2 linked regions of the Tamandua tetradactyla genome follow. The protein of the gene in region 1 binds, or shares a complex with, the protein of each later gene. Links are inferred from orthologs where the notes say so. Each region holds a gene or a part of one and is shown on either strand. Other genes may lie near its edges.

Evidence for each region.
Region 2: the proteins of ATP7A (region 1) and ATOX1 are in contact, whole or in part, in an NMR structure (PDB 2K1R), measured with the Homo sapiens proteins. The link is inferred for Tamandua tetradactyla from reciprocal best matches to the Homo sapiens genes ATP7A and ATOX1. Residues at the interface, in NP_000043.4 of Homo sapiens: Cys19, Asn20, Ser21, Cys22, Trp24, Thr25, Gln29, Asp67, Asp68, Met69, Gly70, Phe71, Asp72; in NP_004036.1 of Homo sapiens: Thr11, Cys12, Gly13, Gly14, Cys15, Ala18, Arg21, Val22, Lys25, Lys57, Thr58, Gly59, Lys60.

Annotation. Positions count from the first base shown.
Region 1 is NC_135353.1:92,589,698-92,599,535, reverse strand, and holds the start of ATP7A (copper-transporting ATPase 1), read left to right. Parts: upstream 1-5,356; 5' UTR 5,357-5,604; intron 5,605-9,838. Other genes in the region: COX7B (cytochrome c oxidase subunit 7B, mitochondrial), read left to right, coding at 537-661, 1,887-1,964. UniProt on the Homo sapiens protein: ATP-driven copper (Cu(+)) ion pump that plays an important role in intracellular copper ion homeostasis.
Region 2 is NC_135346.1:32,592,499-32,602,106, forward strand, and holds the start of ATOX1 (copper transport protein ATOX1), read right to left. Parts: upstream 4,828-9,608; 5' UTR 4,668-4,827; coding exon 4,662-4,667; intron 1-4,661. UniProt on the Homo sapiens protein: Binds and deliver cytosolic copper to the copper ATPase proteins. May be important in cellular antioxidant defense.

The sequences.
Region 1 (9,838 bases):
ATAAATATTTAGTGTGCTTTAACTTGTTTATTTTGAGTTTATTTACCCTTGTATATTGTGAGTTGTTGAACACTGTTGAGTAAACATTAGTGAAAATTTAAGACATCAGTGTTCAAATTAATGAATAGGAGCCAAATTTCAGAGGTTATACAAATATCTTTTTTTAGTGAATGGACTAACATCACCTCTTTGCATTCTTCCCCAGCATTGTTATGAAAATTTTCATACTACAGAAAAGTTGGAAGAATTGTATAAATTGAGCTTTCAGATGAACATTCATATACCTATCATGTAGATTCTGCACCTGTTCACATTTTGCTGTGTTTATCACATTATCTATCCATCAGTCTTATTTTAGATGTATTTCAAAGTATGCTACTTTGTTTTTAACTACAGTGTTTTAATATTTTATTGCACTGCATAATACTGTAAAGTTAATTTCCTTGGCTTCTTTGATTGGCAGTATGAGTCACATAGTTCTGTTTTTTCTGATAATTGATAGATATGATTCCGTATTCCTTTTTTCTTTCTTTAAGTTCGAAGCATTCAGCAAACAATGGCAAGGCTGAGCCACCAGAAACGCGCACCTGATTTCCATGACAAATATGGTAATGCTGTATTAGCTAGTGGAGCTACTTTCTGTGTTGCTGTATGGACATATGTAAGTACTATTGATTAGTAATTTCTGTTTTAGTTGTTTCTCATTCCTCTTTGGCACGTGTATTCAACACATTTTAACACAGTAGCATACAATTATAGTTAGGATTAAGCAATGCAGGAATTTCTTCTTCCACATTCAGTACTCATCCATTTTCAATAACAAGTTGTTTACTGGATCAGGAGCAGCCATTTTCATGTCATGTACCTGTAAAAGGTAGATGTTAAAAGGGTATGTTAAAATCTGCCTCCCTTCAAATTCTGCCCATTAGTCTATTGCTATATAGAAATTTGGATCCCATGTCCATGTAACAGTTCTCAGATATTAGAAAATTGCAATCATCTCTTTCTCTGAATCATCTCTTTCAGGTTAAACATCCTAAGTTCTATCAGTCATTTTTTGCTATGTGGTTTCCAGGACTTTCACCGTCCAGGACACAGTCCACTTATCAGTTTTTCTTTTAAAATTGTATGCTTGGAACTGAGGACAGTGCTTCTGATGGATGAGATGTAAAGTAATTTGCTTTCAATATTTTAGCTTTTTTACATCTGTATATTTAATAATATACTTAGCAGTCACTCTTCTTGTTGGTTAAAAATAGAAAATCTGAAATTATAAAAAATGTTTATATTGGTTTTAAATGGTAAATCAACTCTTGCCTTGATAAACAAACTTTATTTAGTACACTTTTTCCATTCTTCACTTGATCATCCTGAAATCAGATCTACTATTAAAATAATTGTGTACATAATTAGAAGGATAAGCAGATGTTGAACAAATGTGTCATCAGAGGAGCTTTTAGAAATAAAGTCCTTAAGAATGAAGGGCTATTAAAACTAGCTCTTTCGTGGTTATTTAGTTGGTTGTAATGGAAAGAAACAATGTTTTGAGCAAGTACTATAGAACTATGGCATATAAATTTGAATTAAATAAAATTAAAAATTCAGTTCCTCAGTCATACTAGGCACATTTCACTTGCTTAGTAACCATGTGTGGCTAATGACTACTGTATTGGATATCAAAGATTTAGAACACTTCCATCATCTCAGAAAAGTTCTATTGGACAGCACTGCTGTTTTAATCTGTTGGAGGGCTATATCTCAGATGAGTGTCTGTGTATTTCTAACCTATAGAGCAAAATATCTTTGTCACTTTCAAGAAATGGGCTGTGAGAGAAGGGGGACTTGGAGTTAAATATGTGTAACTGACAACATTTTAATTCTTACAGACAGCAACACAAATTGGAATAGAATGGAACCTGTCCCCTGTTGGCAGAGTCACCCCAAAGGAATGGAGAGATCAGTAATCATCCCAGCTGGTGTGATACCAAAATGTTTCAAAAGCAACTCATAATTCATGACAAGTAAAAGCATTGTGTACCCATTAAAATATGACATTGTTGAAGAAATAAAGTACATTTGAAACCTTTATCGGAGGCTTTATTTCCTTTGTAAATGAAACCAAGTTTGATCACTTTTCATTTATTTAACTTTTGTCTTAATATTAAAGTCTAAATGCTATACAATTCTTAAATATCTTTTCTCTGTAAGGTAGTATAAAAGGAAAATTTGGCTATCACCTACAAGTCTGAAATTATAGCTCATGATTTCAAGAGGTATTTTAAATCATCTTTGAGCTAAAAATTTGGTATCCAGATTTTGGTTACACTTAATCCTTTTGTACCTCATTTATGTGTAGGTTTGGAATTTCCATTAAGTTCTTTTCACTCCTGCCTGGAGAACTTAAGATGTCATCAGAATCAAATGGAAGAGTGGTCATAGAAAATTACTAGGATATTTGAAAACTAGCCTGCTCCTTGCTTCCTTGGCACACTTATTTAGAGCTTTATATAGCATTGTTTAGAGAAGTTGAAAATGTTACTAAAGAAGTGTTCTGTCAAAAACAGTTTACTGACATAAAAAATAGTTGATTCACAATTATCTGTGACCTCTTCTGTTGCCTTATTGTAATTATAACAATGTTTCATTTTGTAGATTATCCTAAATTCATTATATGATAAGGGATTTCATGTATAGCTGAAGAAAATATTTGCACCAAGGGCTTCATTACTTCCTTGGTTGAAGGCTTATAAAATAGTTTGCAGTAGTGCATTGGCAATGGTCAAATATGAAGAAAATGAAATTTCAGTTGAGTAACTTGCCTATATTAGCTAGATTTAGAGATTACTAAAATCCACTTATCTGATAACTATAAAAAGTTTAGGTAAGTGGCTTTCGGGAATCTCCAAATTTACCTAATGTATATAAGGATTTAAACTTAACCAAATATTTCTAAGTATTTTTGCTTACTGTGAAATACTAGAAGTGCTTTCATAGTATGTCCTAGCTTCTCATCAAATGCACTAAAGTCAATAATTACATGATTTGAGTGGGAAAAATTTATTGCAAAATAAGTAGGTTACAAAACCGGTAACTAGTACCATTATTTAAAAAAATTTGGGACAAATATCTCATATTTAGAATGTTCCTCATAATAGTTCTAAGTATTATTCACATGTAATCCTGAGATATGATTAAGCAAAATAAACATGTCTTCAAGGAATTCTCAGTCTCCCATTAATTATCTTTTCATCACTGAGAGCAAGCTTCTAAAACTTAATTTTATAACTAACCTTGTCCTAATGATTAATTCTAAAACTATCATGGCCACTACTAGAATGGTAGTAGTTAAATCTTGAAATTCTTTATGCCGTCAGAATATTCTGGTTTTGCAGTTTACACATTCAGGTACAAAATTTTATCTTCTCACACAAAATGTACTAAACTTATCCCATAGCACATCACCTCAGTTAAGAGTTTTAATACCTGGAGTTGGAAGGTCATCAAATTGTCTTCCTATTAAGTATATGTATATCTGAAGAATTTAGGTAATTGACCTATTTTAGAAGCATCGTCAGTCTTTACAGTGTTGTTAGAGGGCTATGAAGTATTTTTTAATTAGGGTGAATCATAAATAATTCTTAATTTCATTTTAAAACAATTATTTTAGCACCTGTGATCTGTTCTTTTAAAATTGATTTAATAAACAACACTCTAGGTGCTGTGATAGTGTAGAGGCACAGTTGAGTTCACACCCTGAAGACAAATAACTTTAGTCGAGGTATTAAAACTATCTAATAAGCGTTTGTGGGGCACTTAATTATCTGACACCAGCAAACCAGACTTCTTGAATATATGCTTAATTTGAAAGGTCAGTCAAAATAATATATATCTATAGTAATTGTGAAAAAATGTTAATATGCTTATGCATTGATAAAGGGGATTAGGATGATGCATTTACAGATACAAGATATTTTAGAGTGAAGGAAAGGCTCAGTGCCTAAATGTACGTGACTTGTAGAGGATCCTGTGGCCCATAAAGGTAAACTTCAATATTTGTATAAAAGAACTAGAGAGCTAGTAGATTTGATGTTCCTCTGATAAGGTGATACTTCTGTTTTCTGCCTTTTAGTGAATTTCTTTGAAAGCTTAAAGCAGAGTTAATATTATAGTTGCAAACCAAGTTGTGACTTTATATTGGTGGGTGTAAGGGGGAGGGAAGGGATAATTGTTTCTGAAATATATAATTCAGTTCTAAAATTTCATTTGGTTTGGGAGGTTTTAAATGTCTGTCAAGGCTTAATAGGAATTTGACAACAGGTGGGATGGAAATTAACACTTAGGTATGTGTATTGTGTGCCAGAGACTTTTCTAAGCCTTTTACAATTATTAACTTATTTAATATTTGTATATTGTGTACTAGTTTGAGTTCTGCAACATTTTCAGACTTGGTGCTCTTCTGTGAGAACTGGGTTCAAATGGTTCCAGTTAAAAGTACAAATGGTCCTGTGATTAGTTTCACCCTACATATTAAGATACGGATTTGAGAAGAAATATGAAAAGACCACATCTTGCTTCGAAAATAAGTAAGATTAGTAAGCCTCTCCCCGTTTTATTGTTAATATTTATATTTTGCTAAGTCCTAGATTAAAAAAAGTAAGATTGGAAAAACAGGAGTAAAAGAATATACTGTTTCCTCAAATGGTTTCTCTATCACTTGTTTGTTGCATTGCATTGTTACATTTTATGGCTCTCATCAACTCATGATGATAGATACTCTAATATTTTTTTGCATCCCTGGAATCTTCTAGGTGTTTAAAATGATGGATTACCGAAATTGTTAAATGGGGGGAAGCGGTTCAAAGCTTGGGTTGGCTATGTGAAGGTAGATCTCCCCCTCAAACCTCAATACAAGACTTTTTCCCCCTCCTTGGTCATTTTTTAATGGCAGGGTGAAGGCAAGTTCTTAGTTGTGGCATTTACATGTGGAGTCAGGTTACACCAAAAAAAAAGTGATTTAATTCATGCTGGGAAAGGATGAAATATGTAGAAGATGATTTATAAGACGTTCATATGGTACAATAACAGCTTGAGGTTAAGAATCTGGCTTGAGGTTAAGAAACTACAGGTGACAGAAGCACTCTGGTTGTTTTTGTTTGTTTGGTTTTTGGTTTTTTGGTGGCGGACGAGGGCAATAGGATGGGTAGCGCCAAAACGATGACTTCCGCCTGAAGCTAGCTGCGCCTCAGCCCAACGGCAGCAGGGGGCGGGAGAAGCTTGGCTTTAATCTGTGCGTTCCCCATTCACGTGACACGTTGCCGCTCCCTCCTACGTCAGCCTCGCTTCCGGCTGGGGCATCGCCCGGAAGTAGGGTAGCTTGGGGAGGGACAGGTAAAGGCGGGCGGCGGCGGCAGTGGGTGGAGGAAGAGTAAAAGCAGAGGGAGGAGCTCCTGCTGCCGCCGCCGCCGCCGTCGCCGCCACCGTCACAGTCATTCCCTCCGTTGTGACTTCTTCCCGTGTGTGAGATTGGAACCCGTGCTTGTTGGATTTATCCGTGCCACAGTCAGCGTAGCTCCGGAGGTTTTACCATAGAACAGAAACACACAGGTAGGTCCTGTATCGGGTTCCCATCATCCTCTTCTACTGGATAGGGTGTTCTGAACAACCGAGTTTGGTGAGAAGGTCATTTTAATCTGGGGCAATCTCCAAACTCTCACTTCTTCAGGATTTGGTTATTTACTGCACGTAAGTTTTATCTTCCCATGACCCGCGTTACTCTCTGGATCATTCATGGCCTCTTGAGGGTATGAGGAGGTCTTTGCCTAGTATTGGAGGTCTCATGGATTAGGGTCTGTGCTTAGTGACACACCTTTATACTTTGGAAACTAAGGCTATTAAGGTCACCATTATTAATAAAATAATTAAAAACTAGGCATTTTGCTTCTTGTTTCCCTCTGAGATCATTAACTAAACTGAGAGTGCAGTTTTCACTTCATTTTGATCTTGTGTCCCTTTCCCAGAAAAGTTAGTCTCCATCCTTGTCCCATCCTTTTGCATCTTTATCTTTGATACTTTCTGTTGTAGACAGCACTTTTCTGTCATTTCACAGTTGGTTTTCCAGGATCTGAACTTTGTTTTAATCATAGCCTCTTCATCTATAGTAGTATTACTTTTTTAATAAGACTTCATTTGTGTTCAAAATTGAATTAGGTGATACTGAGATGGGGGGAGGGGTGCTGCTCAAGAAATAAGACAGGGTGCCTGACCTCAAAAGAGTTTACAATCAAGTTAGATGAGTTCGGCTAATAATGAAGGCAATGGTTTCTATCAACCCCACTGATTGAAACTAGACTGTTTATCTCATCCTTTTAAAAGGATATTTTGAACTTTTTAATATATATATATTTTTATTTTTCAAACTTTCATGAGAAGGTGTTTTTGTACTGGAGGATCTCACAATGTAGTGGAAAGATGATTAAACACTTTTTATCACACTTACATTGTGTGTTAGAACCAGAAAGTGTTATGAGAGCCCGGAGAAGGGAGCATTTGAGCTGGGCCTTGAAAACTGGATAGGATTTAGCTTTGTGGAAATGGAGGGAGAGGAAGACAGTCTAGGTAGAAGAAATAACATGAGCAAAGTCTTGGAGGCTACACTGTCAAGTCAATTTCCTTATTTCCAGTACATTCACATCTTCCAAGATGTCACTGGTTAAAGGGGGAAAAAAAAAACTACAAAGCCGTAAATATGGTAAGCTTACAACTATAACCAATTACCTTCCAGCCAAAAATTGAAAAAGCCTATACATGGAAAAAACACAAAGGGAAATGACAAAAACAATGTTAATGCATAATGACAAGATTTAATTCTGATGTAAACTCAAATCTAAAAGGAATGATGAATACATAACTATGTGATGATATTGTGAAGCATTGATTGTATACTTTGGATGGATTATATGGTGTGTGAAGATATCTCAATAAAAATACATAAAAATTTTTAAAAATCTAAAAGAAAAAATAATGCTTGCTATACTTTCATTCTGATTAAGTGTTGCATCTTAAATATAATTTGGAAAACTTTTTAAAGTTGCTGGGAATTAATAACAATATTGTAAAGTCAGGAGCTGTTTCAGGTTTTCTCCAAAGAAATTTTTGCTCTCTTTTTTCCAAATTGATTTCTCTACTGGTTTTCTTACCTTGATAGACACTATTCATTTCCAATTACAGTCTTAAAATGATCTTGATTTCTGGACTTCACCTAGGATTAGGTAAAACACAAATAACCCCAAAGGATAGGTTAACAGGTGTGTTCTCTAATGCAGCAGGTTGTTTTTCTTTGAAAAATCCATAAAGAAGCAGTGGAATTTGTTTAAAAGATAGAGAAAGAGAGAGGGACAGAGCACGAATAATCCTATCTAACACAGAAGTAAAACCTTTACTTCTGTGAGAGCTTGAAGGTTCTACATTTCTTTTATAAATTCCTTGATATAACTGCTTTTATCTATGTATTTAAAAATTCTTGACAAACTTTAATCAAGACTTTTAACACCCCGGTGAGTGAAAATAATCTTCATTTGATCATTGGGAAAATAAGTTGTGAGAAGTGAAGATTTGTCTGAGGTGATACAGTCACTGGCAGAGATGAGAATAATATTTTGGAATTTTGTCTTAAAATTTCCTCTACTCATATTTGTTAAAAAGAAGTGCCAGTTTACTGTTTTTTTTAAACAGTGATTTTTTTCCTTCAAAAGAATTTTTAATGCAATTTTATTGTGATATATGTTCACATACCATATGATCATCCAAGGTGTACATCTTATAGCTGTGCATTCATCACCACAATTGACTTTTTTGTGTGAAAAATAACATATATACAAAAAAGCAATACATTTCAAAGCACACTGCAGCAATTAGTTGTAGAACAGATTTCAGAGCTTGGTATGGGTTACCGTTAGTTCCACAATTTTAGGTTTTTACTACTAGCTGCTCTAAGACGCTAGAGACTAAAGAGATATCAAAATAATGATTCAGCAATCATACTCATTTGTTAAACCTTACCTTCTCTGTTATAACTCCACCATCTTCTTTGATCTTTCTCCTACTCTTTAGGGTTATTTGGGCTTTACAATCAATTTTTGAAGATTTTCATTACTCCAAAAAATAAAAATAATAATAGAAGTGCAAATAAAAGTAAAAAAGTACATCCAAAACATCCCATTCCCACTCCCCTCTATTATTTATTTATTCTTTGTCTTGTTTTTTTTCTTACTCGTCTGTCCATATGCTGGGAGTGTCAGTCACAAGATTTTCAGTCACAGGGTCACACCTTAAAAGCTCTATAGTTATTCAGTCATCTTCAAGGATCAAGACTATTGGATTGCACTTCAACAGTTTCAGGTATTTTCCCTCTAGCTACTCCAAAACCCCCAAAGCTGAAAAGGGATACCTCTATACTGCATAAGAATAACCTCCAGAGTGACCTCTCAACTCCACTTGAAATCTCTCAGCCACTGAAACTTTATTTTGTTTCATTTCTCTTCCCCTTTTTGGTGAAGAAGTCTTTCTCAATCCCATGATGCTAGCACCAGGCTCATCCCTGGGAGTCATGTCCCAACAGTGATTTTTTTTTTTTTCAAAAGGAGAAACTGTTTGTTACTAGGCGCATAGTAGGAAAGCAGATGGCCTAGCTATCCAAAATCTGTCTCCTCGAACTGCAGTAATTCTGGTAGTTTTATTAGAGAAAAGATGGGCAGGGTTTAGGATAATGAGTAGAGTGGCCCCAGATGATATAATTAGAGGTGATCTAATTATATCACCTGGCATGCACAAATTGATTACGTGCTTAGTCAAAGAACATGTGTAAGGAAATGGTGGAATGAGGTATAGGTGACTTGTAGATTTAAGTCTCAACTCTAACAGTGATTTTTTAAACAGCAGTTTTCCACAGGACATAAGGCAAGATAGTGGCAGGGACAGGGGGAGGCATTAGCCAGCAGTCAGACAGAGAATTTCAGTTCATTCTACCATCCCAGCAATTATGTTTTTCACTTCTAAATCTCAGTCAGTCTTCAGGTTGATGTAATGTGATACCTGCTGATTTGCTGAGATAGTATGGCAGAAGTATCAAAATTCATTTAGAATGTGTTTCATTAAAGTGAAAGGGACAGTATTTCTGGTTTCATAAATATGTTTCTGATTTCTTCAGCACTGTTAGCAAATTGAAGTGATTTCCTCATCTTTGTGAGCTCACATGTGTAGAATATTGGTAGGGTACATAATTTTTCACAGATACTTCTTTCCTTGAAGGAAATGATAAAATATCTCCATTTTGAACCACTTTGCACTTGTTCCATGTTTTCTGCCCATATTTAGAATTATTCAGCTATGTCTCAAGATATTTCAAAAATTGTGCCCACTTTTACTTTAGAAATCCAGTTTTCCAAGCTGATAATCAGGAGTGTATTTAACAGTTTATTAATTGAAATAAATGTATTATCTCACATCTCAGGGAAATTGTTTTAGCCTGGTTATTTAGGTTAGTTGATTTTGTTTGTACAAATTAATGTTTTGTTTTATGTTGTTGTAATTCCTGCTGATCCTGAATATGCAATTGCTATCCCAACCAAAAATATCTGAATTATTCCCTTCCTCCACTCCTACTTGAGAGTTTGCAGAACACTATATATTTCTCGGGATTGTGAAGAAAATGGATTCTGCTCTCTTAAGTGGTCACCTGAAGTGAACATAAAGAGGCCTCTATTAAGACCTGAAAATATGTAACAGAGAGACAGAATTCCAAAGTGGAGAGTCCTCTAAAGAAAATTCTCCAGTACTGTTT
Region 2 (9,608 bases), on another chromosome or scaffold:
GAATCCTCATTTTAAAAGACACCCAGGTCATTGCAGATTGAAATGCTGCGAGAGAACAGGGATCAGCAAACTACAGTCTGCCTGTGACCTGGTTTTATAAACAAAGTTTTACAGGAACACAACCAAGCTCTTTTCTTTACCAGAACAGCAGAGTGAGTAGTTATAACAGAGACCACACACTGTTTGTGAAGCCTAAAATATTTACTATCTGACCCTTTCAGAAAAAGTTTGCTGACTCTTGCTCTAGAATAACTAACAATAAAGATTCATCAGTGGTCTGCAAGTGACCTGGCTTCCTATGCTTGCAGTAAAACTCTGGTGTCACTAATAAAATGCTGTTGTTTGCAAACTCAGTTCCGATTTGTCTTTCAAGAAGTTTGAAGATACAGAAGGTACCTTTTGGGACTATGGGCTCTGGCAACTGGCCAGGTGAGGCACACAACAGACCCTTTTGTGTCAGCTATCCAATCACCAAGACTCTAAAGCACCCAAATGTCAGCTTGAAGACACTTTCAAGATTATTTTGGGAACTTAAGTATGTAAGTGCTTGCAACTAGCTACAGGTCAGAGCTTCATTTTCAGCAAAAATAAAATTAAATAAAGGGACTTTAAATGAGAAGTAAGATCTAGGTTGCCTTTCCTGAGATTGTTTTATAGTGAACACTAAATAACTGTCAGCCAGAGAACTGATATTCTAGAAGAGACATCAACAAAAGACTGCTTTAGAACCTAGATTGAAAGCACCTTATCAAGTCTTACTGACCACAACTATGGCAGTTAAACTACAGAGAATTTACCCCAGGGTCCACAGGACTCAACTTAAACATGCATCATGCCCTTGAGAAGCCACTCCCATTTCAGATCTCAAGTTAAAACTAACATGAGGATTCCACAAGCAGATGGCATCTGATGTACAGAGCTTTGGCCCAAAAGGTCAGAACAAGGAGATGATACTCAATATCACAAATCAAGACATGCCTGAATTTCCTTATTTTATTCTGTCTCTTCCTTTTCACCATCTGTCTATACTGTCTCTTATTCATCCTATATGCCTTACAATGTCCAATCTCCATCCCCAATAATCCCCACCCTTCACCATGATTTTCTTTTATTTCCTCTTTCTCCTATTTCTGCCCTATGGACAATTTCTGTCCATCTGGTATACCACACAACAAATGGAAACAATCAGAGTCACTGTTGGGTCTGTGCCTATCCCCCTCAGCGTCCCAAGACAGGTAGTCCTCTAATAACATCCTCCTTACACTTGTACACCTGGCCATGACAGAAAACTTCAGATACCCAATCAGACAGATCTCCTTTTTGGAATGGCTCTGGGCTGTGCGTTGAGAGCCCCAGAGACTGGAATTACAATGTGACCTCTCTAACCCAAGGAATGTGGTGTTTTTGCTAGAAACCAGACAGATAAAACTGGCCACCCATAGGGTATAGTAGGTGTTCAATTTCTATTTAAAAAAACTTCATCTGTAGTTTGTACTTATATATCTTTCAAAGCTTTAAGTATTTGCAAGATCAAAATAAAATCTAAATTTATAGAATGCCTACTATATGCCAAATGCTCTTTATACAGTAACTAAGTTAGTCCTCACTCAGCTTGGAGTGGGAGCTATTTTACCTAGGAGGAAAATGAGGTTCCCAGAGGCTAACTAAGCTGCCCACAGTCATATGTTAAGTATTGAGGATGTGATGTGAATCTAGGCCTTCCTCGATTCAGGGAAATCTTGCTGACTTTGGATCAGTAAACTGCACCACCACCTGCTGCCCCCCACAACCCTGACTCTTAGCAGGAGCTGAGAGTGGGAATACTTTCTCCAGGATATAGAAAACACATTTTTTTTTTGCTGCCCAAGATCCTGAAGTTAATAGCTAACTGAAGCTTTCTGCTGTTGACTATAAGCAATGGGTGTCATTTCATCCTCCACAGCAGAGGTCAGAAGCCAGGAGGTGGCTGCTGGAAGCAAACATAGTTCAGTACCCTCCTCCCCCACCTCTGAGTTGCAAAAACAAATCTGGGGGTGGTGGAGGATCTGCTTAATGGACAAAGTGATAATCCATTCTTTACAGGAAATTCCTCAGACCTCCTCCATCATTGGATGCTTGATTTTGGTCAGTTCTGGCCCCTCTGGGTCTGAGCTTCTCACCTAAACAATGAGTTCTTAAAAGTAGAAATCTGATTGTAAATTTTGACATACAATCATAAAAGTAGAAATCTGAGATGATGGAATGGTAGCTCATGACAAACTATGGGATCTGTTCTATAACTACATGTTGAAGCGTGCTTGAAAATTATTGCTTTTTTCTTTGCTTTGTATATATATTATACAATGAAAAGAGTTAAAAAAAAAAAAAGTAGATGAAAAAGTCCAGTAAGCCGTACAATTCTTTTAACAGAATTTCAACACTGGAAGGGCAGGGATAGAGCAGGGTCACTTTGGCCAGCCTCCTTCTAGTGAAGGCATTCTTAAATATCTGGGATATTCAGTCCTTGATACCCACCCCGGTTACTGGGAGTTTATTAGTACTAATATATTTGAATTCTTGCTATGTGCCAGGCATTTCTAAGCACTTATAGGCATTATCTTATTTAATCTTCACAAAGGGCGATATTATTATCCCTTCTTTACAGATGGGGGAACTGAGCTTGAGGTGAGGTCACTCACTTGGGTCATATAGCTAGAGAGTGGCATGACATGGGACTGGATGCAGACACTCTCCAAAGCCTAATCCTGAACCACTGCAGTCCTTGTTAATATTGTGTTCAAATCTGCATGCCTATAGTTCCACCCCTCTCTTCTGCCCTAGGTCTACCCTAGAACTACCATTTCTTGGGACCGGCTATGTCAGTGGCTATGCTATACATTTGACTATTGTTCTTCCAGTTAATATTAACAATAGTCTCGTGAGGTCAGATTTTTTGGGGGGGGGGGCGGGGCATGGGCAAGCTCTGGGAATTGAACCTAGGTCTCTGCCACAGCAGGTGAGAATTCTGCCACTGAGCCACTGGTGCACCACCCAAGGTCAGACTTTTATCCCCATTTTACAGATGAGTAAACCAAGGCACAGAGAAGTAAAGCAACTTGCTGAGGTCACCCAGCTGGCAGGTGTGGGCACAAATGTTCACAGAAGTTTCTGGGATCCCACAGCCTGTGTAAGTGCTTGTCTGAGAAATCTGAGGTGAGATACTCTTCCCCTTCTGATTTTGAAGGCAGTCTCTGGACTACTATCCTTTCTCCTTCAGCCATTCATCTCAAGAATGCCTTCTTGAGATGTCTTCGGTGTTAATGCCTTCCCCATCCCCATTATCCTCTCCAGAGTCTCTGGTTTGTCAAAATCCCCAGAAATGGGCAAAGAGTATTGTGATCCTCAGGCTGGCCTTTCCCTCACTACCATTCTCCACAAAAACCCTAGTGGCCTCTACAATCTGGTCCCAGGGTGATTAATGCTGTTTTCTAACATTGCCACAGTGGATTTGCTAAGCTGGGAGGGCAGATTCTGTCAGGCTCTTTGTCTATAGCTTGTGATGTCTGAGGATTTGTCTCAAGGAACCTGGCAAGACCCAAGGGAACTGACAACTGAGATGTTTGTGGCTCTGCCCAGGGGGGCGGTGGCTCACCTGTCAGCTCCCCAATGACAGGCTGCTAAGACACAGGGTGTCTGGGAACACTTCTGGGCACTCACTTGGAGTAGAGCCAGGAACTAGACACCGTGGAGGGAAAATGCTAAACACCACCTGACCCCAACCAGGATCTCAGAGAGGCAACTGGAATTGGAGCTTTCTCCCAAGCAGGTGTGACTGCTTTTGCAGGTTGCTTCCCTGTGTGATTAGGCCAGGAAGGACTGGAAGCTGGAGGATAAGGGGCTTAATTTTGGTTCCACCCATCTCTCAACACAATTTTGAATAAATTACTGGGCTTTTAATTTTTTTTATCTGCAAAAGACTTTAATTTGTTATCTACAAAATGAGGCCATGACCAAAGATGTATGTGCAATAAGGCTGAGTGAGCTGCAAAGGCAGGCTAAGACCTGCTCATTCCTCCCCAAACTCTGTCACTGAGTAACTGATGACTTTGAGCAGGACTCTGAACCTCTCTGGAGCTCATGGATTCAGGTTCAGAAACTGACCAGTTGAAAAAGGTCAAAAGTACTGGCGCCATTCAAGTTCGTCCAACACCGACCTGAAAATCTGCCAGAGTGGGCAGGGAAGTGAAGAAAAATATGGATCTCTGAAAACCTGCCCAGTCAGGGTGGCAAGAGTCGGGCTCATAACTTGCTCATAACCACCCCACATTCTTCTTTAAGGTCAGCTCCCGGGAAAGGGGCATCCAGGAGGAAGGTGCAGAACTAAGGTTTCCCATTCCAGCTTGCCACCAATTCTCTGTGTAACCTCGGATGTCTGCCTCCTTTTTGGATCTTAGTTTCCCAGTACATGCAAGGAGGGTTTGGGCTCGTGATCGTTGGAGGCGTTGTAACTCCAGCATTCTGAAGCCTGGCTCCTTGAATCACTTCCTCTCGGTTCCGATTTTCTGGAGGGTCCTAGAAGCTGGGGGGGGGGGGGTAGCAACCCCTGGTCAAGCAGCAGTGCAGCCAAGGCGCGACCCAGGGGCCCCAGGTTTGGGCAGGGCCGGGACGACGCGGCCACTTACCGGCATAATGGATGGCGGGAGCAGGGGTGAAGGGGTTGGCGGTGCAGCCTCCCGGACGCTAGGCAAGTTCGCTGGGGCAGCGCTTCCGGGTGAGCGCGCCGGGAGGAGACGGGCCACTCGGCCAAGCCCCGCCCTCTCCGGGGTCGAACCGCCGCCAGGCCCCGCCCTTTCCGCCGCTGCGCTGGCACCTCCTAGTCGGTGGGCAGATACCGGACCACTACCGGTAGATTCCCGCCAAGTGAATCCCCATTGGCGCTTGGCCATTTTTAGAACGCCTGCTCCATGTCAGGCCTTGTAGTAGGGACTGGGAATACAAGGGCACCAATAGTCAACAGAACAGATTCCATCCCTCGTAAATACATGCACAATACACGGTCTCATTTTTTCGTGATACACAATCTCATTTACTCAGTCAATATTTATGGAGTACTAACCGTGGGCTAGCACTGTGTTAGGCATCCCAAGGTGCTGTAGTGGAAAACGACGTACCTTCGAAGGGAGCGAAAGAAGCAATGAATAATGCAGCCATAAAGGAGCTATGAAGGGTTGTCATGGGAGTTTAGACAAAAGGTTCCTAATTCAGACTGGAGTGCGGGAAGGGAGAGGCGGAGGCTTCTGGAGGATGTAATATCTGAGTTAAAGAGGAAGAATCAAATTCACCTGATGAGGAAGATGAGCTCATTAGGGGAAAGGGAGGTATGGGGAACAGTGTTTTGGGCCCAGGGAACAGCATGAATTAAAAACTGGAAGGCAAAAGTGAGCAGATTTGAGAGACAGAGATATTAAGCCTGAGAGGTAGGCTCACACAGATAAACTATTTGACAAGACTAAAGAGATCCACAGCTATGTGTGGAGACATAGAGGCAGACATGCTCTAGGAAACTTACAGAGAAACAGACATGTGAAAACCTGAAACTTCACACACACATACCCAATACACAGAGAACCAAGGTGACTCTCTCCTTGGAAATATCCAAGGACCCTCCCAGGGGTGGGGGTGCTCTGTCTAAATAGTTTCTCAAAGGTCTTTCATCAAGAATGGCTTAGAAAGCCTGATAAATATTCAGATTTCTAGGCCTCTCCCCAGATACACAGCTGCCTTTTGTGTGTGTGTGTGTGTGTGTGTGTGTGTGCATCAAAGGACTTTTCAATGTGAAAAAATTAGAATGGGCATAGCCCAAATATCACTAAGGATTGGGAGAAGGATCAAAGGAGAAGGAGTTATAAAAGAGACATTACTTTTAATAAATTAGAAAGTAAAAAAGACAACCTACAGAATGGGGGTAATATTTGGAAAACATATATCTGATAAGGGCTTTTTAACTTTTTTTGATAAGAGCTTTTTAAAACATTTTTTACTATGAGATGTAACATAGATACAAAAAAAAGAATACATTTTAAATTACATTTTAACAAGTAGTTATAGAACAGAATTCAACGTTGGGTATGGGTTACAGTTCCACAATTTCAGGTTTTTCCTTCTAGCTGCTCCAAGACACTGGAGACTAAATGGCAATATCAATATAATGATTCAATAGTCATACTCATTAGTTAAATCCTAACGTTTCTTTTATAACTCCTTCTCCTTTGATCCTTCTCCCAGTCCTTAGGGATATTTGGGCTATACCCATTCTAATTTTTTCACATTGAAAAGCGGCGTCAATCATACAGGATACGGGGACAGAACTGGTTGATGATTTTGCAGAGACTGGGGGTTTCAGGACTTATCTGGCCTGGGAACCATCTGAAGTTTTAGGTTTCTGAGAAGTAAACTTGGTGTGTGAAACTTTTGTAGAATCTAAGATACAGCCTGGGTGCTCTTTAGGGTTAATGAGAGTAATGTTAATTAGGATTTGGCAAACCCTGGCAATTAGCAATATCTAGCTTAAGTTTGTGTAAGGGTAGCCTCCAGAATAGCCTCTCCACTCCATTTGAACTCTCTTAGCCACTGACACCTTATTTTGTTACCTTTCTTCCTGCCTCATTTTGAGGAACACTTTTAGTCCTCCTTCCTCTTGTTTCGAAAGCCCCTACTAGAGGAAAATTATAGTATAACACAGGGAAGTTTTTTGAGGGAGTGTGCTGGTTATTAATTTATTGCTGCTCAGCTCCAGATTCATCCTTTTTGCCTGCACTGTGAAAATGGATCTGGGCCCTTTAAATTTATTTTGTCCTTTACAGCTGGTGAGATGTTTAACTTTTTCGGTTGAAGGTTCTGGAGAGACACTGACTGAAGAAAAAGTTTTCCTTCCTGTTTCCGCTGGGCTGATTCACCAGGGTCCTGCAGTATGTGTGGCTCTCCCAGCTCCTGTGGATGGCTTCTTCGGGACCAGGCCCCTGCTTTTAGCCTAGGGACCAGCAACACCTGGCTAGCAGTGCCCCACTTACCCCACCTCAAACCCTGGTAGAAGTGGTTTTGAGCAGAGTTTCTCCAGTAAACAGCTCTGTGTAAACAGTTTTCTTCAGCACTTTAGAGAATGGATTTCTAGCCAGTTCCACCAGTGCGGCCCCAGGGTGTGGGCCACAGCTATGCCATCTCGAACAAGGTGTTCATCTCAGGCTGAGGGTGGGGCAGGAAGGGAGGCGCTCATCGGGTGTTCTCTTTCAGCCCTCTGGTTAGTGGCTGCTCCTTATATCTGCTATTCCTGTATTCTTTAGAGCTCTCTTTACTTCTTATTAGCCAATCCCTCATTACCATGGCATCTTGTTATAATAATTCTTTAAATTTTCCTTGTGCAAATTACCATGTGGTTTTTCTCTCCTGATTAGACCCAGATAGACGGAGGGATTAACAAAAAGCTACTAACTTTGGTTTAGGGAAGAGGATAATGGTTCCTAAATTCAAGGAACACAAAATCAAAGGAACAAGTCTAGGCCAGGGGCTAGTTTGAATCTTACCCTTATCATTTACCAGGTGTGTTACTTCAACCCTTTAAGTCTCAATATGCTCCCTTATTAAAGGGGATAGTTAAGGTGACTTACAATTTTTTATGTAAACCTTTTTTTTTTTTTGAGACTGAAAAAGGATGTCATTAATAATTATGCCAGGACCATGGGCATATAACTATGACTGCTCCAGGTAAATCAGGACATATGGTTCCTCCAAAGAGACCTACTTTGTAGCATCATTGGGAGGAATAAATATGATAATTTATGCAAACTGCCTTGTGCATTGGTTGGCACATGGTAGACATTAAAGAATATTACAACTCTTCTACAAAAGAGTTCTAATTGCTAGAGCCCCTGCTGGCAACTTGGCAGGCAGTCTTCCCCTACTGGCAAAAATGCTCACCTGTTAATCCACTGCGCCGTCCCCACCATTTGCCATTTCCTAAAGCCAAAAATTCTTTTTCCCTACACTCTCTAAATAGGTGGCAGACTACCCATTCTACATCTGTTCTCCTGTAGGAAACATGTAGGTGTGGGAAGGTGATCATCATTTTACTCCACATGGAGAGATTTTGTTTGGGTGGGAGGAAGGGAGAAAGAAGGGAGGAAAGAGGGTGCTATAGGGCTGGTAACCTCAGGTCTCAGAAGGCACGGCTGAGAACTTTGGCAACACTGGGGGACAGTTGTGCACTGAGGCTGGGGATAACGACATCCCTGTGGGGGTCAGGGGGTTAGGGAGAGTAAATCCTTCACAAAGCCAAAAGCAACAGTGACAAGGCAAGCCAATCAAGGCAAAGGAAGAGTGGGTGGCTCAGAAAATGGGCAATGGGGAGTTAAGCAGGGAGAAAACAATTTAATAAAGCAGCAGCATCATGGAAACCCATTATAGGTGGCAAATGAAGGCCTATCAAAGGGGAGAGGAAAATGCACAGGATTGTAGTCCTATATAATTATACACATAAAATCCATTTATTTATAATAAAAATAGACTAAAGATATACTATAGCAATTTCTACTAGAGGTTATTTTGGACAGGTACAGGATCAGAGGCAAAATTCCAATGTACATGTTGTGTTTAAAAATTTTCAAATAGCACAAAAGGGTATACACTGAAAAATAGGTCTCCCTCTGTGGTGGTTTATGTTTCAACTTGGCCAGATAATGGTGCCCAGTTGTCTGGTGAAGCACTGGCCTAAGCATTACTGCAAGGACATTTTGTGGACTTAAATCATCAGTAAGGGGTGGGCCATGGTGGCTCAGCAGGCAGAATCCTCACCTGCCATGCTGGAGACCCGGGTTCGATTCCCGGTGCCTGCTCATGCGAAAAAAAAAAAAAATCATCAGTAAGTTGATTGCATCTATGACTGATTACATCTAAATTAACGAGAGTATCTTCAGCAATGAGAGAGATTTAATTGAATCAGATGAAGGCTTTAAAAGGAGAAGTCAGAAGAGAGAATCTCTCACTGCACTTCAATGAACCAGCCTCTCCTGGGGAATTCATCAAAGACCTTCATCAGAGCTGCCAGCTTGCAGCCTGCAGTCATAATTTGGACTTGTGTATCCCCACGGTTGCATGAGACCCTTTTATAAAATCTCATATTTACAGATATCTCCTGTTGGTTCTGTTTCCCTAGATAACCCTAATACACCCTCCTACCCCGATTCCCCCTTTCATAAACAAAATGCATATAACATATGTTTTGCACTCTGATTTTCTTATTTTACAATTAATTTCCTTCTTTCTTTTTGGTGCCATGTAATGTTCCATTATTCAGTAATCTTAATTTATTTTGCCACTCCTTATGGCAGAGACCATTTGTTGGCTAATCCAACAACTGTTCCCGATCTTTTACTCTTGCTACTATTGATGCTGAAATATCTAAATATGCTTTTCCAGCCTCCCTTGCAGCCAGGTATGCCATTTGATAGGGCTGTAGTCAATGAGACAAAAGTAGAAGTCTTCTAGGAGGCTCCTGGGAAAGCTCCGGCATTCCTCACCAAGGGAACAAATACCACTCCTTTCTCCCTTTCTGCTTAGAACACTCTAGAATAGTG